4 linked regions of the Yarrowia lipolytica genome follow. The protein of the gene in region 4 purifies or fractionates together with the protein of the main gene of each other region. This does not show direct contact. Links are inferred from orthologs where the notes say so. Each region holds a gene or a part of one and is shown on either strand. Other genes may lie near its edges.

The links.
Region 1: the proteins of YALI1_E16451g (region 4) and YALI1_C31971g purify together in Saccharomyces cerevisiae (affinity purification with mass spectrometry; 4 studies listed by BioGRID). This does not show direct contact. The link is inferred for Yarrowia lipolytica from reciprocal best matches to the Saccharomyces cerevisiae genes CBF5 and XRN1.
Region 2: the proteins of YALI1_E16451g (region 4) and YALI1_B30214g purify together in Saccharomyces cerevisiae (affinity purification with mass spectrometry; 3 studies listed by BioGRID). This does not show direct contact. The link is inferred for Yarrowia lipolytica from reciprocal best matches to the Saccharomyces cerevisiae genes CBF5 and NOP7.
Region 3: the proteins of YALI1_E16451g (region 4) and YALI1_E30707g purify together in Saccharomyces cerevisiae (affinity purification with mass spectrometry; 3 studies listed by BioGRID). This does not show direct contact. The link is inferred for Yarrowia lipolytica from reciprocal best matches to the Saccharomyces cerevisiae genes CBF5 and NOP6.

Annotation. Positions count from the first base shown.
Region 1 is NC_090772.1:3,190,818-3,201,079, reverse strand, and holds YALI1_C31971g (uncharacterized protein), read left to right. Parts: upstream 1-3,607; coding exon 3,608-3,690; intron 3,691-3,968; coding exon 3,969-8,466; downstream 8,467-10,262. Other genes in the region: YALI1_C32010g (uncharacterized protein), read right to left, coding at 1-64; YALI1_C31989g (uncharacterized protein), read right to left, coding at 659-2,179; YALI1_C31918g (uncharacterized protein), read left to right, coding at 9,209-10,036. UniProt on the Saccharomyces cerevisiae protein: Multifunctional protein that exhibits several independent functions at different levels of the cellular processes. 5'-3' exonuclease component of the nonsense-mediated mRNA decay (NMD) which is a highly conserved mRNA degradation pathway, an RNA surveillance system whose role is to identify and rid cells of mRNA with premature termination codons and thus prevents accumulation of potentially harmful truncated proteins.
Region 2 is NC_090771.1:3,017,763-3,025,092, reverse strand, and holds YALI1_B30214g (uncharacterized protein), read left to right. Parts: upstream 1-3,632; coding exon 3,633-5,405; downstream 5,406-7,330. Other genes in the region: YALI1_B30234g (uncharacterized protein), read right to left, coding at 1,019-1,714; YALI1_B30218g (uncharacterized protein), read right to left, coding at 2,173-3,243; YALI1_B30182g (uncharacterized protein), read right to left, coding at 5,690-6,403, 6,891-6,926; YALI1_B30181g (uncharacterized protein), read left to right, coding at 6,963-7,330. UniProt on the Saccharomyces cerevisiae protein: Component of the NOP7 complex, which is required for maturation of the 25S and 5.8S ribosomal RNAs and formation of the 60S ribosome.
Region 3 is NC_090774.1:3,067,256-3,073,424, forward strand, and holds YALI1_E30707g (uncharacterized protein), read right to left. Parts: upstream 3,511-6,169; coding exon 2,599-3,510; downstream 1-2,598. Other genes in the region: YALI1_E30677g (uncharacterized protein), read left to right, coding at 513-848; YALI1_E30725g (uncharacterized protein), read left to right, coding at 5,275-6,169. UniProt on the Saccharomyces cerevisiae protein: Predicted to be involved in rRNA processing.
Region 4 is NC_090774.1:1,641,152-1,648,051, forward strand, and holds YALI1_E16451g (uncharacterized protein), read left to right. Parts: upstream 1-3,975; coding exon 3,976-5,433; downstream 5,434-6,900. Other genes in the region: YALI1_E16433g (uncharacterized protein), read right to left, coding at 792-2,156. UniProt on the Saccharomyces cerevisiae protein: Catalytic subunit of H/ACA small nucleolar ribonucleoprotein (H/ACA snoRNP) complex, which catalyzes pseudouridylation of rRNA. This involves the isomerization of uridine such that the ribose is subsequently attached to C5, instead of the normal N1.

The sequences.
Region 1 (10,262 bases), on a different chromosome or scaffold from region 4:
GCTTCAGCTGCTCCGTGTTGAGATTCAGATACTCTGCTCGTTCAGCAGATTGCACTAGACTCATGGCTGTGTGTATGTCGTTGTAGTTGTGATCGCTGTATGTTCATCATGGTCAACGTACTGTACGTACGTAAACCCATGCACTCGAAACTTTATTATAGTGACGTGACTAAGCTGCAGAAAGAGAATTAGTTGGGAGTTAGTTAGGGAAAAGTTGACTGAGGGCGCAAATAGTGTCCCAGATACGGTAGAAATATGAAACGTACGCCAAAAAATTTATGAAAGTGATCTGGTTGTTATTACTTATCTAACAAGTTACCGGAGTTCTCAGATATAAAGAAATATAATGCTATTCTTGCTTACTTTGAGTTTGTCACTTTACTTAACGTTAGTTAGAACAGTTGAGCAATATGTTACATGCGGCAGCTACAGCTTTACAGTATGTACAGGGGTGTTCTCGAATCAATACTTCCATAAAGTCGCTTGACCATACCAAAAGCCTCTCGCCTTAAGGGGTGATACTTTGCTTGTCTTCATCTGCTTGTAGCCTTATTATTGTCTACAACGTTTATACTTGTAGTAAATACTCGTTACACCAAATCAACTACAATTACAAGTATTCCTTCAATATACATATCATGTAGCTACACCTCCAAAGTTACTTCCGCTGCTCAAGCCGCTCGACAACATGATGCAACTCGGCCACCCGGTTTCCAAGACCCATGAACAGCTTGTATAGCTCCTCCAGCGAAATGGTAAAGTTGTCAATGACCACAGAAGGGTTCTGAGGTCCGCTTTGTTCCAGTCCCACAACACCAGCCTCCACCTCGGCCGTCACCTTTGCCAGCTCCTCAATTCGCTTCTCGTACTCCTCACACTTTGTCTTAAAGTAGTTGAGCAGAGGATCGCCGTTCTCTCTGGGAGCTCCAGCGGGTCGGTTGGAGTTGAGACGGCCAGGAGTCTGACTGGTCAGGTAGCTGAGCAGGTTGAAACACGTCTGCGCCTCTTGTGCGGCAATGTCTGATCGAGTCTTGATCTCGTTCATGTTTTCGGAGTCGTGCACCAGAGCCTCGTAAGCAGTGATGTACTTTCTGGAGATGAGCTCAGCATCTCGGGGGATCGACTCGATCATCTCCTGATGCTGCAGCTTGTTCGTGGACAGCTCATCGCATATTCGGGCCTGCTGCTGAATGTATTCGTCGATCTGTTCAAACTCCTTCTGCATATGTTCCGGTAGATCCGACGGTCTGGTCAGAGGAGTGACGGTCAATTGCTGCTGTTGTTGCTGTTGTTGCTGCTGCTGTTGCTGTTGCTGACCAAATCCAAGTCCTCCAGTATTTGTGTTTGTGTTTGTGTTCTGTCCAAATCCTCCTCCAAAGCCGGTACCGGTAGTAGCAGGCTTAGCACCGAAAAGACCACCTCCTGAAGTAGTAGTGGTGGCGGGTTTTGCACCAAACAGTCCGCCGCCCGTGTTAGTAGAAGCGGCGTTGTTGTTCTGGCCGAAAAGTCCACCGGTGGTGCCTGTGGTTCCGGTGTTGGCAGTATTGGATGTGTTCTGTCCAAACAGCCCCCCACCTGAGGGGGCAGCAGGCTTAGCTCCAAAGAGACCGCCTCCGGTTGTGCTTGTGTTCGAAGTGGTGTTGTTGTTGTTCTGGCCGAAAGAGAAACCTCCAGATGTGCCTGTAGTACCAGTAGTACCGGCAGTGTTTGTGTTCTGACCAAACAGCCCTCCTCCAGTGGTGGCAGCAGGCTTGGCTCCAAAAAGTCCTCCTCCGGTGTTTCCGGTGTTAGAGGCTCCAGCATTGTTGTTTTGGCCAAACGAAAAGCCTCCTCCAGTGTTACCGCCCGTGTTGCTGGTCTGATTGGTGTTGTTCTGGCCAAACCCGAATCCTCCGCCAGTGTTGGTGTTAGTGGAGTTGGAATTGTTATTCTGGCCGAACGAAAACCCGCCACCAGTGTTACCGGTCGTGCCGGTATTGGCGGCGCCAAAGCCTCCGGGCTTCTGTCCGAATCCAGTGCTGCCGAACATGATGTATCTGTGTGGTGATGGCGTCTCTAAAAGTTTGGTTTGTTTTGCTGCATGCTGTTGATAATTTTGCTTATTAAGCCAACAAGGCTGAGGATGTAAGCGGATGGATGGTGTAAACACTACAACAGAGCAGCAGGTAACGGAGGCCATAGATTACTTAGATGAGTACTGCTTTAAAAAAAATCAATACTGCCTCCTTTCTATCATCAATTACATATTTCGATTAAACGCCTTATCTTGAAATTCATGAAGTCGTGGAGTCGAACTCAGGGTCAGTCTTGTCAATCTCTCTGAAATTTCAAATTTGAAGCTTGGTTGGGAGGGAGCACCAGGAAAGACTACAGTACAGTGTTCATCCTACAGTATTTTTTTTCCCGTATCCTTCTTCGTTATTCTGGCGGTAATCGACGTGTGAAATACCCGGCGTTTAGGTTGCTCTAGAACATTCCATTGTGATTCACTGTTTTGATGGAAAATGGGGAGCTATTCTGTCACCAGCTTCACTCCCAATTGCCGTGAGTTCTCTCTGGTTGCTGCATTTTCTGTATGATTGTCCGTATGTGAGTCGAACCAAGATCGATAAACTTTCGCGTGATAATACGGCGGAAAGCATGACATCTATCCAACTCTCGTAATAATAGCCCTATAAGCGTGATTTTTCCATAATTTTGTTTGCTGAAACTAACTAAATACACTGATACTCTACTTTTTTCTATGAACCATCTCAGTCCCATACTTTGTGGAAATACAGTAGGTACTACAGTGAACATTCGGCACAGTACGGAAACTCTTTCCCTCCACTGTCAGACCTGCATCTTCCAGGAAACCTCATCGAAATTCAAAAAAGGGGCAACGCGATCGAAAAAAGACAAAATAGTGGCAAATGTCGTCTGAAATAGATGTGTGCTTTCGTTCTGTGGGTGGTACAGGGCGTGTCACCTTCTCCTAGCCATTTCTACTTACAGTACTGTACGTACTCTGACTTCTCAGTCAAGTTAGTTAATGCAGTGTCTACATTACATTTTGTCAAATTCCACAGCTAAACTCCACAGCTAATCCTCGTAACGTTCTGACTAACAATAACTGCATCGTACAATGTATCTACAATACATACATACGAGATGAACCCTTTCATGCAACCTTGTGTACGGCTATTTTTCGCCCGAAATAACTCAGTTCCAGGTTAGGCAAGTCCCTGTAAAGATTCATATCCTCCGTATGGGTAGGGCACGTTTCTGAAGCAGCCTACAAACCATATAGATACAGTATGTTGCAGTTGTGCTGTAGGACACGTGACAGGCATCCATCACTGCCGGGTAAGGTAGTATCGAGCCATCCACGGCGTTCCATATGGTTCCAATAAGCCGGGAGTCGTTCATCTGATGCACTTCATCTCATCCGGCTATCGGAATAAGTCATACCTGCGCTTCCAAAGGCTTCCTTTCTCTCTGTCTACCGCCACCAATAGTCGCCACTATGCGCATTCTATCGTCGTTTGGTTTCCCTTAAAGTTAAGTGTCTTGTCCCTACATCCCACCACATCACAAGATTTGATTTTCAACAGCAGATACACCATCAATGGGTATTCCTAAATTTTTCCGCTACATCAGTGAGCGATGGCCGCTGATTTCCCAACAAGTGATTGATACACAGATTCCTGAGTGAGTATGAGAGCAGTGAGGGTGTTTTTGGAGATGGCAACACGACCGTTTGGTGATTGTGGGGTGTCTGATCGGTCAGCATACTGATGACCAAAACCACGACACTAGACGACCTGAAGGAACGTATAACAAGAGCCTTGTGACTGGAGGATCGTTTGAAAGCCCTTGTCGAATGTTCTATGTTGTTTCGATACATGATTCAGGCCAGATCAAACCCACAATAACACACAAAACTGTTACCACCACAGCCACATCACAACATTTCCGTGCTAACCCAGATATGACAATCTGTACCTCGATATGAACTCGATTCTGCACGTGTGCACACACAAGGACGCAGATGTGACGTTCCAGCTGACGGAAGAACAAATGTTCCGCGCCATCTTCGAGTACATTGAGCATCTATTTTCCAAAATTCGGCCCAAGAAACTCTTCTTTATGGCCATTGACGGAGTCGCACCGAGAGCCAAGATGAACCAGCAGCGATCGCGACGATTCCGAACTGCCCTCGACGCCGAAAAGGCCAAGGCCAAGGCTCTGGAGGAGGGCACCATCCTGAAGGAGGACCAATTCGACTCCAACGCTATTACTCCCGGAACCGAGTTCATGGAGAAACTGACCACCCAACTCAACTACTTTGTGCACAAAAAGGTCAGTGAGGACGCTGACTGGCAGAACATTGACATTGTTCTTTCTGGTCACGAGGTTCCAGGAGAAGGAGAGCACAAGATCAACGAGTGCATCCGAATCAACAAGGCCCAGCCTGACTACGACCCCAACACCCGTCATTGTGTGTACGGTCTGGATGCCGATCTCATCATGCTGGGTCTGGGTTCCCACGACCCCCACTTCTCTCTTCTGCGAGAAGAGGTTGTCTTCGGTCCCCGACGAGCCGGTCCCAAGGCTCTGGAGGAGCAGAACTTTTATCTTCTGCACATTTCTCTGTTGCGAGAGTACCTTGAGCTGGAATTCCAGGACCTTGCTGACGAGATTTCGTTTCCCTATGACTTTGAGAGAATTCTGGATGACTACATCCTGCTCTTCTTCTTCGTCGGAAACGATTTCTTGCCCAACTTGCCTCAGATTCACATCAATGAGGACTCCCATGCTCTTTTTGTAGAGTTGTACAAAAAGGTAATGAAGATTTCCGACGGCTACATCAATGACCGAGGAAACATCAACTTGCAGCGCCTGGATCTCTTCCTGGCTGAGATGGAAAAGTTTGAAATTGGTATTTTCGAGGAGCAGGCCATTGATCTGGCCTGGATCAACAAGGATCTTCCGGAGTTGACTCAAAAATACAAGTCCAAGCGTGGCGAGAAGCTCTATCTCTCACCCCAACAGAAGGAGCTGGTTGTGCAGAAACTGCGCCCCTTTGTTGATGCCCATCTTAAAAACAAGTCCAAGTCGGACTACGATCCTGATAATTTGCCCGAGATCGTATTTGATACTCTCTCCGAAGAGTGTGAATCTCTCGTCAAAGAGATCTCTCTGGACCTCGATTGCCGATTTCTCAAGAACTCTTCCACATCTTGTATGCTAATCGTCGATTACGATGGCCTCCGAGACGAGGAGAGTCCTGAAGAAGCCACCCAGCGCTTCATTGGCTACTCCCAGACCCTCAAGCGGTACGAGGCTGCTCCTGTCAAGACCGCCGAGGCGCTGGCCCAGCGAGAGGAGATTTACAATCAGAAGTTTGAGGAGTGGAAGGACGACTACTATAAAAAGAAGTTTGGTTGGTCGACTACCACCGACGAGGGCAAAGCCGAGCTCAAGGCTCTGACCGAAAACTACGTCGAGGGTCTGCAGTGGATTCTGCACTACTACTACGACGGCGTACCCTCGTGGTCTTGGTACTATGGCTACCACTATGCTCCTCGAGTTTCTGATGTGCGTAAGGGTCTGCAGGCCAATCTCAAGTTCAAGGCTGGCCAGCCCTTCAAGCCCTTCCAGCAGCTCATGGGTGTGCTGCCTGAGAGATCCAAGAAGCTCCTTCCTCAAGCTTACTGGCCCCTGATGGCCGACTCCAACTCGCCCATCTATGACTTCTACCCTAACGACTTTGAGCTGGACAAGAACGGAAAGAAGGCCGATTGGGAGGCAGTGGTCAAGATCCCATTTGTGGACGAGTCGCGTCTTCTGACAGCTATGGCTACGAAGGAGACTGGTCTTACTGCTGGAGAGAACAAGCGAAACGCATTTGGCAACAACTTGTTATTCAAATACTCGCCCCAGCAGGATTATGTCTACCCGTCTTCTATGCCCGGTGTCTTCCAGAACTTGGAGCACTGTCATTGTGTGGTTGAGAAATTTGACTTGCCTTCCATGGACGGTTTGGACGTGGTCATCGGCAAGAAGGATGGCTCCAAGTGGGGCAAGGACATGTTGTCCGGATTCCCCTCTCTCAAGACCCTTCCTTACACCTACGACATTGAGGCTGCTGGTGTTCGAATCTTCCAGCAGGATTCGCGAAACAACACTCTGGTGCTCAACATCATCAACTCCTACAAGAACCGATCTCCCGAATCCATTGCTCGAGAGTTGATGGACCAGTCCATCTACGTCAACTATCCTTACCTGCGAGAGGCCAAGGTGATTGCTGTTTCAGACGAGCTGTTCTCTTACACCTTTGAGAACGGCAAGGTCAACAAATCTCCCCATTCCGACACCATGGCCAAGGAGTGGGCCACCGGATCCCGAAAGATCAAGAACGACTACATCAAGAAGCAGGGTATCAAGAGCGGTAACATCTTTGTCGTTCTTCATGTCCGTTTCCTGGCTGGTATGAAGAAGGGAGACGATGGATCTCTTGTCAAGGACTTTACTGGAGCCACTGGTTCTTTCCCTGTTCAGACTATTGTTGAGAAGGTGGTCAACGAGGATGAGCGGTACAAGGAGCGAGCTGCTCAGCCTATCGCTGCCGAGTTCCCTCTCGAGTCGCGTGTCATTCTCATGTCCGACTTCTGCTATGGTGCTGAGGCCCAGGTTGTCAACCACATTGGCAACACCAAGATGGATCTCCAGGTCAAGAAGTCTGCACCCAACTCTCCCGCTGTTGTGCTTGCGGATGTGGGTAAAAAGATTGCTCGAACAGAGTACGCTACCACCAAGTACTACCCCTCGTATCAGGCCGCCAAGATGGCCGGTATCCAGTCGTCTCTCCTCGGTCGAATCTGCTCCAAGTGTCTGATTCAGAAGGGAGACTCTAAGATTGACGTAGGTCTCAACCTGCGAAATGAGGGCAAGCGAGAAAAGGTGCTTGGCTACACCCGGCGAACTCAGCAGGGCTGGGAGTACACCCAGGATGCCATTGCTCTGGTCAAGAGCTACTACAACACCTTCCCCAAGCTGGTCGAGGGTATTGGTTCCAACCGAGACAAGGGCGTGCCTGACATTTCTGCTCTGGTCAAAGGCGAACCTGCTGAGGTCAACAAGATGCTTGAATCTGCTCGGCGATGGCTCAAGGAGAACGCCTCCCGACTGACTTCTGTGGATATTGACACTCAGTCTCTATCGGTCAAGTCCATCTCTGTTCTTGAGAACTATCTCGTCAAGAACGCTGCTGACCCTGATGCTGTGCGGTTTATCCCCTCCGTTGTGAAGGGTACTCCTCGTCAGGCTGTTCTTCGACCTGATGAGGCCTTCCACCAGCTTCGTGGCCAGCGATTCGATCTGGGGGACCGGGTTGTGTATGTCCAGGACTCTGGAAAGGCTGCCATCTTTTCTCAGGGTACCGTGATCGGTATCAAGGCCGTTGGCGTGGATGTTCGGCTGGATGTGCTGTTTGATGACGAGTTTGTCGGTGGCAACAACTTCCAGGGCCGAGCTTCCACCAACCGAGGTCTCAACGTCGCTGCCAACACCGTCATCAACCTGACCAACCGGCAGATGATGTACCGACCCAAGGGCGGCAACCGAGGTGGCAAGGCTAATGGCCAGCAGACCAACGGCAAGACCAACAACGCCCGGGGCCGAAACAACGGCCGACAGGGTTCTCCTGCCGCTTCTGCAGTGCCCAAGCCCAAGCAGCCCTCTCCTGGTGTCAAGATTCTTCAGCGACCCAGAGACGCTGCTCCTGTTGCTGAGACCTCTACTTTAGGTGAGGTCCCCACTGCTGTGGCTGCTGCTACCGCTGCTGTATCAGAGTCTGCTACTGTCCCTCCTGCTCCCGCTCCCAAGACCGAGGAGGAGCTGAAGAAACAGAGCGAGGCTCTTTTGGACTCTCTCAAGTCCAAGACTTCTGCTGACGCCAAGAAGCAGGTCCTGGGCAACGTGCTGAACCAGTACTCCAACCCTCAGCCCCAGGGACCTTCTCAGCACCAGCAGCAGGGCCCTCCTATGCACTACGGAGGCCCCCAGGGTGGATTTGTACCCCCTCCCCCTCCCGGATTCCCTACCCAGGGATTTCCCCCCCAGGGCTACCTCCCTCAAGGACACTTCCCTCCCGGATATTACCCTCCCCAGCCTTTCTACCCTGGTCAGGGTTATCCTCAGGGACCTGGCCCTCAGAACCAGCAGCACCAGCAGGGCGCTCCTCAGGGAACTCCTCAGGGCAATGAAGACCTCTCTGCACAGTTGATGGCTGCCCTGCAGGTTTCTGATAACTCTCAGCAGCCTGCCACCGGACTTGCCAATGAAGGAGGCCGAGGACGAGGAGGACGGGGTCGAGGACGTGGAGGACGTGGACGTGGAGGACGTGGTCGAGGTGGACAAGGTCAGGGCGGACAGCAGGATGCCAACAACCCTCGGATTCCCCAGGTGACTCCCCGGCCTTAGTAGAACGGACTGACGTGTCTAAACTTGGCATGAATGGTTGTATAATAATGGAAATTGGATATATTGATTGATAATTTTGTTGCGTAGATGTACCAGTGATACAGTATTTGAGTTTTGTTGTGAATGTGGCCCTCCAGTAATTACGAGTACATACTGGTACTACTTGCACTTGTATTGTATGTGGCAAGTGATGATAATTTTTTGATATCGTGTACCTAGTCGCGGCGGTACTGTTTGTTGTTTTGTTTTTGTTTTTTTTTGTTATTGTTTTTCATATTTTTTGAGCATTTCTTTCTATTCTCGCAGCTCAATTACAGCAGCTTTTAGTACAGTATATGGTTCATTATCGCGTACTGCACCACCCTGGAGCAAACCAACATGTGTAGCAGGTATTATTTGTCTTACAAGTGATACACTTTTGCCTATCATTGTAATCTCATGATTCGTCTGAAGACTGTATTGATTTTATTGTCACTTACATAGTAATCTAGATCATAATGGCACCTCCGAACTCAACGCTGTTATGTCCATACTAAAGATTTCTCATTACTAAGTACACAGGATGTACAGTAATTAGTGAAAACTGAAACCTTTATGGACCAACTCGGAGAAGTTGTATCGTGTGTGGCATGTACGCAACTAACCACATTCTCATCTCTTCAAGACACAATCTAACAAAAAAATACAAGGCCCTGTCAATTGTGGATTTGGAATCACGTGACTCGCCAGCAAACAAGAAGCGATGTTCGGAACTCCGGCGGTTTGTTCACTGTCATCAGCCGCTCTGCACCCCAGACTCCCAAACTTAACATTTCAGGTCGGACGGATCAGTCATTCCGACTTGTTCATCACCAACCACACTAACAGCATGGCTACCCGATTTGCCCAGCAGGCCCGAAAAATCCTGTGCATTGGCCGAAACTACGTCGAGCACATCAAGGAGCTCAATAACACGGCTCCCTCCAAGCCCTTCTTCTTCCTCAAGCCCTCGTCTTCCATCCTGCTCCCCAACGAGGGTCCCATGCTCGTGCCCTCGGGAACTGTTGTGCACTACGAGGTAGAGCTGGCTGCAATTCTCGGCAAGGAGCTCAAGAACCTCAACCCCAAGACTTTCACTGAGCAGGACGCCATTGACGCCATTGATGGCTACGCTCTGGCTGTTGACATGACTGCTCGAAACGTGCAGGACGAGGCGAAGAAGAAGGGTCTGCCCTGGTCAATTGGCAAGGGGTTCGATACCTTCCTGCCCATCTCCAACTTCATTCCCAAGAGCCAGATCCCCGATCCTCACAACGTGCATCTTCACCTTGAAATCAACGGACAAACTAAACAGTCCGATAACACCAACCTGATGATCTTCAAGCTGCCCCAGATTCTGTCCACCATGAGCAGCATCATGACTCTTCAGCCCGGTGATATTATTCTCACTGGAACCCCCAAGGGAGTGGGTCCTGTTAACCCTGGAGATCGAATGACCGCCGGTATCTCTGTTGATGGAAAGGAGCTCGAGGCCAAGGTCGATGTTCAGGTTGAGCAGAAGCCTGGTCCTTACGTTTATTCTCAGATCTAATCTATATAGATATCAATGACACTTGCCAAGATAATACGTGATACTGTACGTGACTTTGCTACAATAATATAGTATAGCCTTCTGTCTTGGTGACAAGCAACAGTTAGCCATTATATATACTGTACCAAGCTGTAACACAAGCTTCGTCTCACCCAATTCATTATCATTACGTCGTAACTATTCACATATATACTTGCTCTTTCGTTGGTCAGCATTCCCATGCTCT
Region 2 (7,330 bases), on a different chromosome or scaffold from region 4:
CATAACCTTTTGGCTGATTCTTGCTCCCCAGCACGCTGTATCTGGTCTTCCGACGTTTTTTCACCAGATTACGCCTCCCGATCTGAACCTAACCATATAGAGTTTCTACCCTAGCCAAACCGCACTAATTCTGAAGGTCATAATACGCTAAGAGTAGGATGAAAAATGAGGAAAAATTGCAATGGACTGCAGAAACGACATTATCGGGTGGATTAGGCTTGCAAGTGAACCGTTTTCTTCCAACCGTCGGTGATCCAGGGTGCGAACAGCTTCCCCCAGTCTTTTTACACTGACCTATCTCCACGAACCCAAAATACGATTCACAATAATCTTCACAATGCGGAAAGTATACGGCCGTATATGCTGGGTCTGACGGGAATATTCGTAACCGGCAAATACTGAGACACGAGGACTCCAGAATGATGCTACTTGAGCTCTGTGTATACTGGTAATGGTCTTTGCACACGTCCAGGGCACACATGTGGTCCTGCATGTATGAAACTTCCCACATGGATTCTGCACGTGGGCTAAGTTCACATTTCATTGGTCGGAGGGCCGGGTAGGAATAGGTTGAACTGTACCAGGTATTCATACAGTGCAATAGAACACAATAAAAACTTCGTCGACATGTCCCATTGAATATGTGAAGAATCTATGGTCCCAGTGGCTCCCCAGGAGGGTTGTAAATGTAAGTACTAGGACATAGATGCCGCACTCCGCCCTTGATACCCAATGAGTGGGAAGCGAAACCCACTGCATCAATCTGTACGTCGCATAAACCGTCTTGATGATCGCAGTCCGTGATGAAATCACAGGCACGACAGTCCCACCCAGTTGTCGTCGAAAGGCATTCCGTAGTAGAACACAGCGAGCTGGAGATGTGAGAAAAGCTTTAAAATCGGCCACAGGCAGAAGTGGCTGTATTGGTAGCTACGACTCGTAGTCAGATTCAGGAAAGTAAGTGCGCTGGTGGCGGATGACAGCTGACAGCTGACGGGAGTAGACAGCAAGCACACATCTAATGTATTATGTTATTATAAAATAAAAATAAATGCTTGTATGTACTTGTACTGGAATGTACCGGCGACACGTTGTGGGCTTGTAATGACAGGCGATTGATGTAATTAGGATACTTGCTGTACTGTGTAGTATGTACATACTGTACTCGTACCTGTACCAGTACTTGTCGTGTCTTACAACAGCATTTGCATGTCGAGATGGCCAACAGCTCGATGTAGGGGCTCAACGCAATCGTCGTGCTCTCAATCACACGCCTCTCCTGCACTTTATAGTAGGGGGGCGGGGGCCACTCACTCCGATATCCTTCCACGTCTCCATCTTTAGCGCTTACTAAGCCATCTCTAACCTGTGGGCTGCATGATCTGAAGCCAAAAAAGAGCAATCCCACCACCACAAACACGAAAATGCTTAGAATCGCCCGAGTGTCACACAATGCTGTCAAGATGGCCTCTTCGCGGGGAATCCACTTCTCATCCGATGGATTCATCAAAATGAAGGACCAAAAGCACATCCTCAAGGTTATGAACAGCCCGGAAAACCAATGGTCCACAGATGAACTTCTGTCGCATTCAGACCACTCTTCTGACGAAATCACCTCAGAGACCCTCCAGAAGGTCTCAAAAAAGCTGGCACCCATCTTCAAGAGTGCTGCACTGCCAATGCCTGATTCCGATGAGACCATGTTTTCTCTCATCAAGACTCTCCGAACTCAGGTAAACCTGGTCTCTCATATTCACGACATTGATGTCAGCGGAGTGGCTCCATTGACCTGCCTTACTCCCATCAAGGACTTTACATACGAGCAGCTCACAGCTGAGGACTCTGGAGAGCCTGGTCCCGAGGTTCTATGGGATGCTCTGAGTTGTGCCGAGAAGAAGGACGGCCGATTCTTCGTTGTCAGCCGTGATATTAAGCAGGAGGAGCCCACCCAATGAAATTAACAGTACCGGTACATACAATGGATATACAAGTAGATTAATGCATACAAAACACGCACACACACACACACACACACACACGCACGCGCTTTTCTCATCTAAGACTACATTGTACATACATTCCAGTATGTACTGTAGGTACAGTATGTACTACGATAGTGGAAGGAACAGAGACCTGCTTATCTATATCATGGATCTATAATTTACATAATGTTTAAAAGTTGAAACCGGGGTATCCTCGTCGCTTCATTCGTTCTCGCATCTCGGATCGGAACTGGTTAACTCTCCAGCCAAAGTACAGACCAGACAGGGATCCACCCAAGTGTCCAGCATAATCGTACCGACCCCATCTTCCAACAATACCTCCAACGTTCATGGCGATGGAACCGAGGAAGAACCACCATGCGCCAAAAGGCAGAGGAACGAAGAAGAAACCAATAGTGGCGTCAGGAAAGACGGAACAGAAAACACCAACAACGGAGAAGATGGCTCCCGAGGCACCCAGAGACATAATTGCTCGGCCGAGCAGAGAAGGCACGAGCAGGGAGGTGAAAGAAGAGACAACAACAGAGGTCATGTACATGTGGCAGAACCAGGCAGATCCCATGGTCATAGCAACAGGGATACCAAACTGATAGAGCACAAACATGTTAACGAAGAAATGCCAGAACTCCTGGTGGGAGAAGGCTGATCCAATAAGCTGAGCAGGTCGGAAACCGGGCCCGGTCTTGAGAAGCATGTTCTCGAACATGAATCGGATGATCCAGGGGTTACCGGACTTCCACAGCAAGAAGAAGGCAGCATTGACACCGATGATGGCAGAGATCATCCAGTCAGGCCGCTGCGCAAACACGCCAATGGGTGTATACTTGAACAACAGAGGAAAGGCAAAGTAAGAGACAACAATGGTACCGATAGAGAAGGCCAGAGCTTTGGCCAGAATGTATTTGGTGGGATCACCTCCGGGGTAAATCCATCGGGCACCATCGCCGTAAGCGAAGTTGGTGAAGGGTCGAGCCGTGAAGAGGCCCTTTGTGTTGTATGCAAACGTCTTTGTATCGTTCCTCAGGGCATTGAACTTGCCTCGGGTCTCCTTCAGCATGTCAGCAATGCCACCCCGCTTGCCAAGTCGTTGCATCTGCCGGAACATGGTGTTGATCTGGCCAGGGGTAGGACCGACCACATTCTTGACAATGGGGTTGGAGGTGGAGCCCAGAGTCTGAGTACTCTTCCAGAAACCAGGAGCCAGTCTCCCCAGAACGATGTTGCCTCTGAAGAAGTTCATGGGTATGGTTGCGATAGAAGAGGTGTGGAGGTGGATGTTGCTGCAGACGATGCCTATCAAGTCTACTTGAGAAAAGATACTGCCTTATTAGTGGCGATGAGGGCAGCAAAACCTAATCCACAGATAAGTGATGTACACTTCTTACTGTATAAGTATGTGGCCTTATATAATGAGGAGTATGGCATGGTGAGACATGGTAATATTCATTCTTGCATCCGAAATTACCAAATATATTATATTCACCTGGCACCATTCAACTCCCTGATTACTAAGCAATCCATGCATTGGGCGAAAAAAATGTCCCAGCAGAAATTTATAGAGTTTATGCATTGTAAAAATCCTATCCCAAAAAAATATTCAGAAGTCTGTTACTCTTCACACACACAACAATGGGCCAGATCAAGAAAAAGCATACCGCTGGAGCCGCTCGAAACTTCATCACTCGAACTCAGGCTATCCGAAAGCTACAGGTCTCGCTTGCCGACTTCCGACGGCTCTGTATCTTCAAGGGTATCTACCCTCGAGAGCCCCGAAGCAAGAAGAAGGCCAACAAGGGATCCACAGCTCCCGTCACCTTCTACTACGCCAAGGACATTCAGTACCTTTTGCATGAGCCCGTTCTCGACAAGTTCCGAGAGCACAAGACCTTTGCCAAGAAGCTGACCCGAGCTCTTGGTCGAGGCGATCTTCATGATGCCAAGCGAATCGACGAGAACCGACCTCGATACCATTTGGACCATATCATCAAGGAGCGATACCCCACTTTCATGGACGCTCTGAGAGATATTGACGATGCTCTGTCCATGCTGTTCCTTTTCGCCGCTTTGCCTGCTTCCGACGACGTTTCTGCTCGACTTGTTTCCGAAGCCGAGGCCATTTGCACCCAGTGGATGGCCTTTGTTGCCCGAGAACGACTTGTGCGAAAAGTGTTTGTTTCCATCAAGGGAGTCTACTACTCTGCCAACATTCGAGGAGTCGAGGTCATGTGGCTCGTGCCCTTCCGATTCCCCCAGAACATTCCTGCCGATATTGACTTCCGAGTCATGCTGACATTCCTCGAGTTCTACACCACCCTACTGCATTTCGTTCTCTACAAGCTTTACAATGAGAACGGTCTTGTTTTCCCTCCCATCATCAACTCCACCAAGCTCAGTGGTGTTGGAGGTATCAATGCGTACGTGCTGGAGTCTCGACAGAACGCCGGTGTTGTCCCCCAGATTGAGGGTAACTCCGAGGCAAAGGTCGAGAACGTGTCTGCTGCCGTTCTGTCCAAGGCTGCTAAGGCTGATGCCGGCGAGGAGGAGGAGGTTGAGGAAGAGGAGGAAGTCGAGGACGACGGACTGGACTCCTTCTCCGCCGAGAAGGGTGACGCCCTTGCCCAGCCCACATTCAACTCTACCGCCGGTCAGCTCTTCTCTAACTTCACTATCTTCATTGGTCGAGAGGTTCCCCTTGATATCATTGAGTTCCTGATCATCGCATTTGGAGGAAAGGTCATTTCTGAGTCTGCCATGGACGAACTCATCGACAATGAGGACGAGACCCGAGGTAACGTCATTGATGAGAAGACTCTTAAGCAGAAGTTCAATCTCGCCAGCGTCACTCACCAGATCACAGATCGACCCACTCTTCGAGAGAAAGTCCCTGGTCGAACGTACGTTCAGCCCCAGTGGGTCTTCGACTCCATTAATGAAGGAAAGCTTCTTCCCGTTTCTGAGTACGCCCCTGGAGAGCGTCTCCCTGCCCATCTTTCCCCCTGGGGAGATGCTGGTACTTACGATCCTACCGCTGATGTTTCTGATGCTTCTGATGATGATGAGGATGATGAGGACATTGAGGTTGCTCCTGAAGACTACGACAAGGACGATGAGGAGGAAGAGGCCGAGGCCGAGGCTAAGCAGCACCAGCGAGAGCTTGAGGCTGAGGCTAAGGGCACCAAGGCTGACCCCGCTGCTGCTCCCAAGAAGGCTAAGCGAAAGGCTGATAAGATGACCAAGGCTGAAAAACAGGAAGAGGAGGACAAGAAGCTCAGAATGATCATGATGTCCAACAAGCAGAAGAAGCTGTACAAGAAGATGCAGTACTCCAACGACAAGAAGAGCGACCGAGAGGCCGAGCTCAAGAAGCGACGAAAGCTCAACGAGAAGAAGGAGAAGAGATAAATTGGCACTGGGCCACGGCTTGGAAATAAAATAAAACCATAACTAATTGATTGATAGAATATGATAGTGTGTGGGGTTGTACTTGTACAGTAGTTGTACTGTACCGGTACAATACTAGCACAGGTGTATGTAGGTGTTCATGTTGCTATTTTTGAATATAAATAATAAATGGTTATAGTCTAATTTATTAAGTGTTGTAAGTCTATGTTGGTGAGGAAATGCAAGGCACAGAGTACAGATTACAGTACTCGTAAAAGTACTTGTACTTGTGTAAGTGCATCTGATTATCGAATTCGAGTGTCGAAAGCGTTTCTATCGGGAATCTCGAGATTCATGAGTCCATGCAATTCTGTCTTGACCTTCTCCAGCTCCTTGACGGCCTTGTTGAGAGCCTCAATGTCCGTCAAATGCCCTACATCAATGTACACCTTGACCAGCCACTGTTTCGAAGGGTCCAGCAGCTTGATGTTCTTTGTGGTCTGGTCCAGAATATGAATACGAGTCAGCTGAATCACTGCATTGCCGTACACAAACTGAAAGCCCTTCTGCCAATACTCATATTGGAACTTGTAGGCGAGCGACTGTAAAAATTGAAAAGAGTCACCCTTCTTAACGCTCCATGATGAAATGCTCTGTGATGTGGTCTTTTGTTTTCCTGCCTCGGGCATCTCCATGATCTGAAAGTGCCATTGTCGATTTGCCAGATTATGGATATCCTCCTTGGAATCCTTGCTCTGCACGTAACTGATGATCTTCTCTTTATCTTCGTTCTTGTTATCGTTGGTGACGTGGATTCTGTACTGATCCAGTTGCCCTCCTTGTCCTGGCAGGATTTTAGGGGTGTATTTCTGTGCTGGAGCCCACACCATGGTGTGTTGTAGGATAGTTATGGGGTCCATTCCTGTCAGCGAAGCGAGCGCATGGAGGCATATCTTGAGTTGTGAGTTGCTGATTTTGGCGTAAAGCGATATTTGCTGCATTGTATGAAGATGTGATGGCTAGCTGCTGTTGTCTTGATGAGTTGGATTGGGGTGGTGTTGCACTTTAGGTTGGTGATGTTGGAGTGAAATTGTTTAAAATGGAGGAAAATTATGGAAATTCAAGGAAAGGTTCCGAATAATAATTAGAGCACTAAAACCAAACAAATTAAGCCAGTTATGTTAATAATTACTCTTTATCGATCAAAAAACAAAACATATTAAAAACAACTAGACTCCTACTTGTGGTATTGTACCTGTACTCATGGAAACCGGATTACGTCATCATTAGTCCCCCCTCCCGCCAACGTGATCGAGTGAGTAATGCAAGTCGTTGATACCCTGCAACTCAATTAGTCCCCTTGTTTTAGTATTGTATTAAAGCTGTTGGCGATTTCACCCTGAATGATCCGAGACGGTGCGGATTGTTTGCCGCGCTCTTGATGTACTTGTACAGCCCCCTCGCTAACTTCATATCGGTCATGTCGTTTCCGTCGTATGCACATGCAACTCTAACTGACTTTATAAACACGAGATGGTCCATCATGTCTTCGCACACAGCATAGACACCACTTGAAAAATGACAGCCAAGAGCAAAACGACGGTCATTGACGGCAAAACCCAGCGACTAAACCCCAAGACCACGGACCTCGACTTCTTTGGAATCCCTGGAGCCACCTTTATCACCCTTACGCTGCCGCTTTTCATCTTGTTTCTACAGATCGGATGCACTCCAGAGTCTTGCACAGTGGCTGGTGTGCTGAATATTGACTGGTCAGCGGAGATGACCAAACTAAGAGCCATGCCTCTGTTTGATATCAATGTCTTCGGCGTCTATCTGACCTGGTTCTTCTCCCTGGCAGCATGTGATCTGATCCTGCCTGGCCCCGTGGCTGAAGGGGTGGTTCTGCGAGATGGAAAGACCCGACTCAAGTACAATTTGAATGG
Region 3 (6,169 bases), about 1.4 Mb from region 4:
TGCTCCTATGCAGACCCAACAAAGAGCCGACTCAGTTGGTCCGAAGCGCACAAAGCCAAAATCCACTTCAGGGCAAGTGCTAGTCTATCATACCGAAAAAATCGCCCAACTATAGCCATCACTCAACCGCCGTCAGCTGTTATATACCCACTGAAGTCATTGAAATCCGCCTTCCGCAGTCACCGCCACCAAACGCCTTTCATATCTACTCATACTCTGCACGCGCCAAAGTTACTCCTGCTGCCACAAGATTAAATCAAAAAACGCGAGCACACAGAAAGACGCGACCAACGCCTAAAACCCGGAAGCCGACCCTTTGACCGACCGTATTATATATTGTCTTGTTCTGCCCCGACCATCAGCAGTCGACCAGTCCAAAAAAAAAAACCGGAAACATATTCATTGCATCTCCATTCCTGCATTAACAGCATCCTCCTTCAAGGTCTACTCCATTGCACAACCCCCTCTATACCGACTCAGTCATCCCCAGCTCACTCACACACACACACACAATGTACTACTCAAACAACAACGTCAAGCATCTCCTGGACGAGGAAGATGTCGTGCCCTACTCGTCGTCGTTCATCGGCCAGTGGTACTACACCTACAAGGTCCACTTCACTGTGGGCATGATCACTCCTCTGGAGGCTGGCTTCTGTAACGTTGTCATTGTGCTGGTAGCTGCTCTGCTCATGGTGGCTCTGCTCTACTTGCCCCAGAACTCCATGCTGCTGGCCAACCGAGCATACTACTACTGGTCAGGTCACGAGACCTGGTCTACCCCCAACCCTCCTAACTTCACCCAGATTCTGGGCACTGCCATCAACAAAGTCTACCACACTGTGTAGCATTATTTATTAGAGAATAGACGTCTGTATTAACAAGTAGAGTAGAGCAACCGCTAACCCATCAAGTAAATGGCTTTTCCCCTAACCGTTTCTTTCTCCTCCTCTTCTCCCGCTTGGTTGAACTTCCAACTCTTCCTCTTATTTAATGATCTTTTTCTTCATATTGTCTCCAGTACATACGGTATATGCACTGATACATTCTTGAGGATGCGGCTGAATGAATCGCGTGTCTGGATCTGACCCCTGACTAGTGTCAACCAAAAACATTTCTTTACAGACCTGTCCAGCTGACCTGTCGATACTGTACACTGTGGTGCAGTATAAGTATATTGTCGTAAAAGTATCATATAAGCACCTTCCTGATGTCGACAAACTCAACTCTCGTGTGCTACTTTACTTGAAAAGAGACGTCCCTGTTAATCGCACGCAACAGGCCCATCTGTCTCACATGGCCCACCAACTTTTTCTGGCTCTGAGTTGGGGTGCGTGAGTTAGTGCAACTGTCTGGGTCTGAGTTTGTCGCGTGAATAACTACGCGTGGTACATGAATGCAAGGGATGTAAACAACTGTGTGGAACAAGTGAGGCGTATCCCCACAGTATAATACGAAACGATTACAGCGTCAAAAATATTCACTTGTTCAACTTTTTTGTCAGCCTATGTACGTTCCTCTATGATTGAACCTACAAAAGTCCCTCAGACCAGGTTACACGAAACATACAGTGTGGTAAGTGCTATCACTTTCATAGACTTAGTTCCATATATGTCGCTCCTACATTTCACCAGCAGACCAAGATTGTCCTGTAAACTCATCCAGCCCAATACCAGTACGCTCTAAATAAACTGCGTGAGTATACTAGCAGTGTATATCCGAGAGTCTATCGTAGTTCCACGCACCCCAGTCAACCTTGGAGCACTGCCCGCAGCCGTTTCGAGACGTGTAGCCGAAGTCACCAGGCGGTTTAAACATCACCCAAGAGATTGTCACTGTTTCATGGACCAGAGGAGAATGTAGACGGGATGTTTTCTCGGACTTTCATGAGGAATGAATGATATGTTGATGTTGACGGGTGTCATGAATAGCTGTCTATAACGTCATGTCCGTAGGTATTCATTTTGTCCATAGTATCTGCCGTTACTCGTACAAGTCCTTCGGTATCACGAGCAGCATCGTAGTTGCTACAAGGGCGAGTGCTGTTACCCTTACTCATTCTCCCTTAACCCTTCCACGCATTACTGGTACTTGTAGGTCGTTCCAGTTAACGTACAGTTCCACAGTCTCAAACTCTAGCCACAAGTCAAAGCCTTTGAATTAACCGCCGAACAAGGTGATTATGGGTCTGATATCTATTTTTTTTATCTTCATTTGGTAACTTGTGCTTTATCCCGCCAAACTGCTTTCAATTCAGTCATTCTTTGTGTATGTTTTGAACCCTCTTCTACAAGTATGAGCACACCTGAGTAGTCGATGAAGCTTACTGTAAGACTTCAATACGGTGTCGGGCAAGTACGAGTACGAGTACCGTACTTTTAGGCATTCGTATGGAAACAGGCTATCGCTTTGCTACGGTACGAGTATCGTACCAGTATATACAAGTACTGGTACGATACTGTACGATAATTACCGATTTTACTTGAGACTTATTAGTAGTACCCAGCAGCAGTACGTAGAACTACCGGTACTTGTACTAATCACTACCTATTCCCACCATTCCATTATGTCCATTATCTATATGCCTATTCCTCTATTCTACCGAATCAGACCCTGTCGAGAAGGATGGACACCGGGAGTGCTGGTCTTGGGCTTCTTGGTCTGGGGAGCAAACTCCTTGTGGGCCTTCTTGTGGGCCGAAGCCAGATTCTGTTTCTTCTCGTCCTTTCGAGCCTTGGCCTGGGCTTCAGCCTTGGCCTTCTCCTCGTTAGCAATTCGCTCCGACCGCTCGTCGTCCAGCTTCTGTCGCTTCTCTTGGATCTTGTTTCGTCGGTTGGATGAGTTGCCTCCTCCTCCTGCAGTCAACTCCACGTTGATCTTTCGTCTCATAAGAGTAGAGTGATGCATTCGGAGAGCAACGTTCATCCGTCTGGAGGCGTCGTCGCCCTCAAACTCGAGGAATGCAAACCCCTTGGCATCTCGAATTCGAATCTTGTTAGGAGTGCAGGTCTTAAAATGATCAGCAATCACCTCCTCCTTGATATCATAAGGCAAGTTACCACAGAAAAGAATAAATCGAGCCGCCTTGGCAGCAGGGCCGTTCTCGCCATCCCGCTTTCGCTTCTTGGAACCCTTCTTCTCCTCCTCCTCGGCCTTCTTGGCCTCCTTTTTCTCCTTCTTCTCCTCCTTAAGAGCCTCCACCGTTAACTCTCCCTTCTCGATCTTCTTTTTGGTCTTCTTGAACTCCAAAGCCTTTCGCTCCTTCTTGGATAATTTCGATATGTCAATTTCAGACTCAGTCTTGTCAGCCGCTTTACCTTCAGTCTTGTTCTCTTCAGTCTTGCTCTCATCGGCCTTCTTGTCCTTCTTATCCTTCTTCTCAGACTTGGTCTCGTCAGTTTTTGTCTTGATATCGACCGTTTCTTCGGCCTTCACCTCGTCAGTCACCTCGTCAGTCACCTCGTCAACCACCTTGGCCTGCTTCTTGCTGCTCTTGTCTTTGGATCCCATTGTAAAAGTCGTTGTAGGATGTGTACAGCTGGTAATGGAATAATTTCAGCCTGATAATGCACACCACATAATTTTTCCCAATAAGCTTTGGGTGCATGAGATGAGATGGAGTACAAGAAGTAGAGGGAGAAACATGTTCTCAGTAAACGGGCGAAAACTATGTCTGTGGGTGTTCAAAAAATTATCATGTGGTTTTTATATCCTTCTGTTTGAAGTGTTTTGTTATTACAGTACCCCGCAAATGTCCTTATCAAGAGATGCGCGCGATTTGTTGTGTGCCCGAACCTGTTACACTTCCTGTGCCCTCTACTGTAAATTACGTAATTACAATTACGTAATGTACTTGTGCAATGTACTCAATGTGGCTAAGTAGCTTCCTGGGTTGAAAGTACTGTAGCCTACAGTAAACTAGTCACTCACTCTACTGCATGACTTTTTGCCACAGAAGCTATATCACGCCACCACTCCGCTTGTTTAGCCCAATATATCCCTTCTTTTTCTATATCTTGCTTTTTAATCACAAAATTGGCCATCTCCATCTGTCTCACAGTGTGTGGCTCTTAGTACAACAAGTACAGTAACACAGTGTACTCTCGTTAACCAACCCACTTTCAACGTTCCATTCCAGACGCTATTCTGTGCATAAGTAATAGACATTGTGTTTGGTCGTTCACCATGGAGCCCCTTGTATCGTAGTATAAGAGTCTTTCTATATGTTCCATTGTGCAGGCGAATGTTGTATCTTACGTCACCACCACAGTGTATCTGTAACTACAGTATTGTACAATTGTACATACTCCTATCTTACCAAATTGCACAGTACACTGTACCCAGATCATCATTCTTTATTATATAATCAACATCTCTCCACTCATAACCTCACCCAGTCATCAGCTCGCACATACTCAGGACGATCCTTGCCTCGGAGCAGTGCTTGTAACTACAGTATGTACTCGTAGTGAAAAAGGTTGCCCCTGAAGATGGACAAGAGGATGCACAAGCGCACAAAGAAAAGTAGGGGTGGCACGTGTGAGTGGATGTGACTAAGCAGTTGTGAGGTGGTTACAGTCAAGCCTGGTTCGATGTGAAAGCTCACGTGCATCGTACCATTGCCTTGTCTACAACCTCTTCTCTACTGTAGCTACAAGTACTCGTTAAGCATGCCCACCAGCCGTGTACCCACTTTGAAGCCGTCAGTGGAGCTTAAAGATGAAAAGAAGTAACTGGTCCACATGAGCATATTTATCGTCGTGAATAACAATAGGTTGTAGTGATGGACGAGGTGGAGATGTGGGTTGGTATTGTGCAGCGATCACTCAATACTACTGGTACGGTTCTAGTCTTCATCTTCTATGGTCCTGCTCCTCGTACCTGTCCTTACATCGCTATCATCTCATTATCTCAGCGTCACCATGACGTATGTAGTATGCACACGGTTTTTGGGACGAAAAATTCTGTGACGTTGAACATGTAAGGCGCCAGATATACACGTAATACTGTACCAGATTGAGGAGCAAGAGAGAGCGGTAATTATTCTCACGGAAATGACTTACGTCGTCCACGTAGTATGTATGCTCTTCCAAGACATGTCCCAGGTTCACCAAGTCCATTAGCTACAAATACAGCGATGCTGGTCCAACTGAAATAAAGTACGCACGTCCACCACACGCATGTCTACCAAGCTACTGTACATTAACTCTCATCACCAAAAAGACAACATCAACACATACACTTCACCACGACAAACACAAAAACACACACACAATGAGCCAGAACTGGAGGCGCAAATCGTCCGTGTCGGCGTGGGACAAGCCCGAGGGCGGGTGGTCGCGACGGCAACGAGGAGGGATCATCGCCACGGTGGGAGGCTTCATCGAGGGTTTGGCTACGGCCCTGATACGGCGCAAAATCTTTGTCGTCATTTTTTTGCTGCTGACCCTGCTGTCCTTCTTCACAGCCGTGCCATTTGTGCCGCACTTCAACTGGGGCTCGGGCAAGTACGTGATTATCCTGGCTGCCAACGAGGGTGGAGGAGTCATGCACTGGAAGGGAGCCAAAGAGTGGGCCATCGAGCGAAGCAGCATTGAAAACAAGCGAGAATACGCCGAGCGCCACGGCTACCATCTTGCCGTCAAGGACGTGAGTCTCAAGAAGAGATACTCTCACGAGTGGAGAGAGTCGTGGCAGAAGGTCGACATCATCAAGGAGACCATGCGCCAGTTCCCCAACGCCGAGTGGTTCTGGTGGCTCGATCTGCATACGCTCATCATGGAGCCCCAGATCTCGCTGGATCAGCACATTTTCAACAACCTCTACAATGAGACCTACCGAGACCTAACTGGCCAATTCAACCCTTTGAACTTACCCGTGCAGATCCCCTACGTGGACTACAACCAGCCCGTCGACCTGATTGTCACCCAGGACTGCGGAGGCTTCAATCTGGGTTCCTTCTTCATTCGACGGTCCGACTGGACCGACAAGCTGCTCGATCTGTGGTGGGACCCTGTCTTCTATGAACAGAGGCACATGGAGTGGGAGCACAAGGAGCAGGACGCGCTGGAGTACCTGTTCACGAACCAGCCCTGGATCCGAGGACGGGTCGGCTTTCTGCCCCTCAGAAAAATCAACGGTCTGCCTCCCGGAGCTTGTTCCGAGATGG
Region 4 (6,900 bases):
TTAGGTCGTAGAGAAAGAGTCCTAGAAGTCGGAACTAGAGCGATAGTCGACTTTACGAACTCGTCTACCACGTCTGTTTACTCGTTTGAAATAGGAAGGCGATATGGCGGATATGAATGAGCTGTTTGTCTCACTGGATTCTATCGGTACTTGTATCATACAGCACGAGTTGAAAAATAAGGTTGCAAGGCTTGCATTATCTAAACTCAACTTGAGAGGCTAGTTACTACGGGTACAAGCATCGTACTAAGTATGTAGATACCGTAAAATGTTGGTATCACGTAGGTGAAACATTCCAGTACAATTGATAGTCGAGTGGCGTTATATTCTATACAAATTGGAGCTCTATCTCGATTATTACTCAGTCAACTGTCCACCATACGTTCCTCCGCTCTTTTTAGGGTCCAGCAGACCAGACTACAAGTGCAAGTGCTTGTTGTTGCGAGTTCGACGCTAGCAAATGGAGTGAATGAGTCTATTGATTCCCAATAATAGGTAAACTGGAGTCTTCAGCTTCTGTATAATCATTGATCATTGAATCGAGAAAGTCTTTGAATTTCAGTGCTCCCTCCCCCACACGGCACACCATTTCACAGAGAAGCTCTTCATCCCTCGACTGTAATGAGACCGAGTGTTCAGGTGTCCCCTTCTGGTTCAATACAACTAGTGTAAAGAGCTTTCTGGTGTCCTCCCTGTCTTCTCCCGAGCAGCCCTAAATCCCCTACGTTCTTCTACAATCAAGTCTTTTTCTTTTTTCACCTGTATAAACAGGGGTGGTGGTCCATTGAGGTCTAAACAACACAGTGGAAATGCTTTCGGCCCTTAGCGATGCCGTCCTTGACAATCTTGGCCACCTCCTCGGGGTCCTTGGTCATCTTGGTGAAGTTCTCGTAGCCGTCCTTGGTGACGAGAATGTCGTCCTCGATTCGCACTCCGCCAACCTTCCAGTACTTGTCCAGCACGGCTCGGTCCAGAAACTTCTCCTGCTCGGGCTGGATGAAGTGGTCTAGTAGGTACTTGTTGAAGTAGCAGCCGGGCTCGACGGTCAGCACCATGTTCTCCTCCAGGGTTCGTCGAAGACGCAGGTATCGGTACATGGGGTCCTTGTCCTCGTAGTTGGGTCGGCCGGCGGTGTCGTGGGTGTCCATACCAAGCATGTGGCCGAGTCCGTGGGGGAAGAAGCCGCAGGAGACTCGGGAGTCAAAGATCTCGTCCTCCGTTCCGTTGGTGAAGATACCGAGTCGCATCAGATGTCGAATGAGAATTCTGTGGGCGTCTCGGTGCAGATCCTCGTAGTTTACGCCGGGTTTGATCTTCTCAATGCAGTGATTCTGGATGTCCAGCACAGCCTCGTAGATGTCTCGGCACTCCTTGGTCCACTCTCCGGAGATGGGGAAGCAACGAGTCACGTCAGAGGCGTAGTTCTTCCACTCGGCACCAGCGTCAATCAGCACCAGCAGCTTGTCGTCGAGGGGCAGGTCGTTCTTGACGTAGTGCAGGGTGCCAGCAGAAGTACCAGCACAACAGATGGGATCGTAGGACTGGTTCTTGGAGCCCTGTCGGATGGAGTGGTAGATAAACTCGGCATGGATATGGCCCTCGTTCTTCTCAATGGGAAGAGCAGACATGACGGCTAGATGCGAGTTGTCGGTGATCTCGGAGGCGTGTCGCATGAGAGCGAGCTCGTGTGAGTCCTTAATGGCTCGAGCCTCGTCCAGCGCGTCCAGCAAAGGCTGAGACATGGTCACGGCGTCTCGCTTGTCGTAGGTCTCGACACTGATGAGCTTCTTGCCCTTGAGGTCGCTCTCCAGGTGGTTCATGTACTTGATTTCGTCCACGTCAGACACGGCTCGGATCTGTTCGGGAGACAGCGGCAGGCCGGACCACATGACCTCCTCGTCGTCAATCTCGGGAATGTAAAGAGTGATCTTGTCGTCCTTGGCGGAGTAGGTGACAATGGCGTCGGGGGCCTCGTAGCCCGTCAGATAGTAAAAGTACCGGTGCTGTCTGAGAGGCACGGTCTGGTCCGAATGGGGCCACAGGGTGGTTTTGGCAGCTTCAATGTACCACAGAGCGTCGTCGGAAGCTCCGGAAGCTTTGAGGTGTTGCGCGGCCTTGAGGGCGTGGGCCTTGGCGGGGTATTGGTCGACGGTCATGATTGTGTGAAGAGAGGAGATGTGGAGAAAGAGAGGTGTTAGCCGATACTTGTATCCGGATCAAACTCTAAGATTTAGTTGCACGAACGGCACTGGAGATGCAGTTGAGCGGTGGACCAAATGCAGGTAGAAAGGGTAGGAGTAGGCGATCGGAGTCCGACCGTATGAATAATCTGTACGAGGAGTAGGATACGCACACTACCGAGTCCTTTTGCTTAGTAATATACCATGTCTTGTCTTGCCGCGAGCCCACTGTATATAATAATGGCCTACTTGTACGAGCACTGTATTTTCTTGGGTGAAATTTCACTTCTGTCATCCTGACTTGGACCGGATACAAGAAGACATGTTCCGAGAGAGACATCATGTGTATGTATGATGGCATGTACGTGGAGAAAGACAACTGTGGAGTACAGCAATTAGTCATTCAGCTGCTGTACGTACAGTCTTGTAGGTTGTGGTATGGTGTGACTACTAGTTCCGATCCCGTTCCTGTTGTATCGAGACACTTCTATTAGGGAGATGTATGCCTCTCACTTTGATGATCTTGTATTGTATCAGACCCCATTGAGAAATCACCTGTAACATGGCCAAAGGCGAAGTGCTAGTCCTTGGGGATATCTCCAGGTCTCCGTTGTATCCCCTTTTTTTTCCTCCGTGTAGATCTGTCTGCTATATTATAGTCACTGGACTCCATGTCCAGTCAGACTCTGAATGTCCTCTCGTACACTACATACTGTACATACTCCTTCGTCAGTCCATGAAGCATTGTTACGAAGAAGAAAATGAAAAAAATGGCACTTTCAATATATCAAATTGATGGGCTCGCATAGGAGCTTCGATTTAGCTGCTTTCGGCATCTTTTTCACTATTTTTTGTCTCGTTTATCTTTGGTGATCACTGCCTGTTCCCCGGGATGGACTAGTAGACACCTAAACCGGCCATTTTTGACAAAGGTGTGATATAAATCTCGTATGCTAGTTGTTGTTGGTCACGTATACTTCCTATCTATGTCTTCTTCGCCCCCCATTGTCATACAAAAATGGTCTCTTCTGGACCCCTTCCATTCACCTCTCAGCTCCCATACCGCTTCTACTGTAAGTACGAATCCTCACAAACTTGTCCAGTTGCCAAATGCCACAACACTCTCCTCAGTCGCTTAATAATCGAGATACGAGCATATAACTCGAACTGGTGATATAATACGTGACCTTACTCACCCTTCGTCGATAAATACCTCGTAAGAGCACCTGAACTGACTCCCCCTTCACCCACCATTCACCATCTTGACGCATCCTAGAACCTTAAGTTCAGAGCAGTCTTGAAGTGATGGGCAACCCAGCCATGAGCCCTTTCAGTGAGTGTCAGCAAAGTGTGGCCGGGGTTTGAACATCCGGGCCATGGAGATGCTGCCATGACCACGTACCTATATATACCTGTATTTGTACTGTTTATGTTGTCACACTCCATACGACACTCCAATTGCCTATATGCCTACAATCTAGCTCACGCAACGCAGTCACTGATTTGTGGCGATATAAGTACAATAAACGTAGATCGAGCATCAAAATACCGGCCAAAACACCTCCAAACCCACGTCACACACCCACAAACCACCTTGTCAAGTGAATGACCAGAATATATCTCCCCGGTACCCTAACCGCCACCCTAACCCCATACCCTAATGCAGAAGGACTCGTCCCAATCCTGGCCGCTCCCCTAATCCAAACCCAAAGTACAAAAATTCTGCGCAGTGAAAAAAAAATTGAAACTCACATTGAGAGCTTCTCCTACATATCGACCTAGCAACACTATCGACATGTCTGCTGTTGTTCAGGAACAAACCGACTATCTCATCAAGCCCGAGAATGTTGGCCCCTCGGCCGACACCTCTGAGTGGCCCCTTTTGCTCAAGAACTACGACAAGCTGCTTGTGCGGTCCGGTCACTACACCCCCATCCCCACCGGATGTTCTCCTCTGAAGCGAGACCTCAAGTCGTACATTGCTTCCGGTGTCATCAACCTCGACAAGCCCTCCAACCCCTCTTCCCATGAGGTTGTTGCCTGGATCAAGCGAATCCTGCGATGCGAGAAGACCGGTCACTCTGGTACTCTGGATCCCAAGGTTACTGGATGTCTGATTGTGTGCATCGACCGAGCCACCCGTCTGGTCAAGTCCCAGCAGGGAGCCGGAAAGGAGTACGTGTGTATCGTGCGACTCCACGATGCTCTTGAGGACGAGAAGGAGATGGCCCGTGGCCTCGAGAACCTCACTGGAGCCCTGTTCCAGCGACCTCCTCTCATTTCCGCCGTCAAGCGACAGCTGCGAGTCCGAACCATCTACGACTCCAAGCTGCTTGAGTTTGACAACGACCGACACCTCGGTGTCTTCTGGGCCTCCTGTGAGGCCGGTACCTACATGCGAACCCTGTGTGTGCATCTGGGTATGCTGCTCGGTGTTGGAGGCCACATGCAGGAGCTGCGACGAGTGCGATCCGGTGCTCTCGACGAGTCCGACGGAATGGTCACCTTGCACGACATTCTCGATGCCCAGTGGCTCTACGACAACACCAAGGACGAGTCGTACCTGCGACGATGCATCCGACCCCTTGAGTCTCTGCTGCTCGGCTACAAGCGAATTGTAGTCAAGGACTCCGCCGTCAACTCCATCTGTTACGGCGCCAAGCTCATGCTTCCCGGTGTTCTCCGATACGAGGAGGGCATTGAGCTGGAGGACGAGATTGTGCTCATCACCACCAAGGGTGAGGCCATTGCTCTTGGTATTGCCCAGATGACCACCGTCGACCTTGCTTCCTGCGACCACGGTGTCGTGTCTCGAATCAAGCGATGCATCATGGAGCGAGACACCTACCCCCGACGATGGGGATTGGGACCCGTTGCTACCGAGAAGAAGAAGCTCAAGGCCGACGGTAAGCTCGACAAGTACGGTCGACCCAACGAGAGCACTCCTGCCGATTGGAAGAAGAGCTACGTGGACCACACTGAGGACGAGCCCGTCACCAAGCCCGTTGTCGCTTCTGTGACCGAGACCATTGCTGTCGAGGCCCCCAAGAAGGAGGTCGAGGCTGATGTCTCCATGGCCGCCGACTCTGACGATGAGGAGGAGGACAAGAAGGAGAAGAAGAAGGAAAAGAAGGACAAGAAGGACAAGAAGGAAAAGAAGGAAAAGAAGGAGAAGAAGGAGAAGAAGCGAAAGGCCGAGGACTCCGACGACGAGGGCGAGAAGAAGAAGAAGAAGAAGAAGAGCAAGGATTAGTGTCTGCATGTAAATTATGTTATTATTTGGTTCCGACAAAAAGGTGCAAAGTGGCTTGGACTGAAGAGTGGAAGGGTAGATTGTCAGTGTGAATACTAAAGAAGAGTGGCAGTAGAAGATGGCTAAGATTTGTATGGATTCTGGTTCTGTATTGAAGCTAGGCTCATCACGCGGTATGAGGCCTACAGAGACAAGAGGTGGTATGTGGACGAAAAAATCATGTTGAGAAAGTTGACTGCGAGTATGCGTACAGTTGATGATGTGACACCCCTTGAATACCGTCTGATTGAATACCCAACTGTTAACAGAAGGCGGTTTCACGGAGAGCATGGCAGTGTAAACAACAGAGAAGTTATGGCCAACCAACCTGGGCCAAGAAGCTGGTCAAAGGCTTCTTCGTTCCATCCAACTTACGTACTCAGATTGACCATCTATCGGGCTACCCGGATATCGACCCCGAGTGGCTCCAAGCTCTGGATGAGCGTGGCATTTCCCTTGACCGTCAGCCTGAAGAACTTCAGCCATGTGAAAAACTTCAAGCGCTGTGGCGACATGGCTTCCGACCAGCGTTGTCGCTCGAGGAGCACACCCGATGGATTCGCAACACCTGCGTCGCCTCCCTGATCAAATGAGACAACGTTGGTAAGTACGGAGGCTACTTGGTCAACTGGCTCGGCTGTAACAGTAATTGTCACCCAAGCTCCCTCTCCGGAGGCATGTTCACAGCCCACTTGGACGAGCTCAGAGCACAGGCTTCTAGTATCGGTACAGGTGCGTACCAGCAATAACTACTGTATCTTCGTGATGTTAAGATGTCTCTACGACCTGAAGATGCGTCCACGACCACCACCTGAAGATGAACCTCTATTTCCCACTCTAACCAACCCATCTTCTTGACCTCAGTTCTGTAGGAGATGTAAAGTCGATGAAAAAAGTTCTCATAACTACACTACTCGTACTCGTACCGTAAAGCACAATGTACAAACATCCCTAGTACACCAATGCAAACAGCCACTCGTCGTCAAATCACACATCAGCTTGCAAGAAGTTGTGTCACAATGCTCTTCTGTTGAATTCGACAGATTCGCTGAACTCGACAGATTCGCTGAACTCGACAGATTCGTTCAACTCGACAGATTCTAGAATGTTCCAGAACCCACATCCAGAACCCACATGCCTCGTACAAGACGATAATCCCTCTGAACACTTGACGGGCCGTCGACGTGATTGTACATGTACATGAAAAATGCCCTCCAAACGTCACCGCTTATCTGCCCACGTCGATTGCACATTTAGTTTGCTAATTATGCTAAAAAGCCTTCAAAATGTCGTCGACAGCACAATACCAACTTCTTCAGCAGAGCCGTCAGAAGCCCCAAATGAAGGCGCTCAGAAGTCCCATCAGCTCAATTGGACGTTAAAAGACATTCTACATGTTTTCCTACCCTCCAAACCTCCCCCTGATCC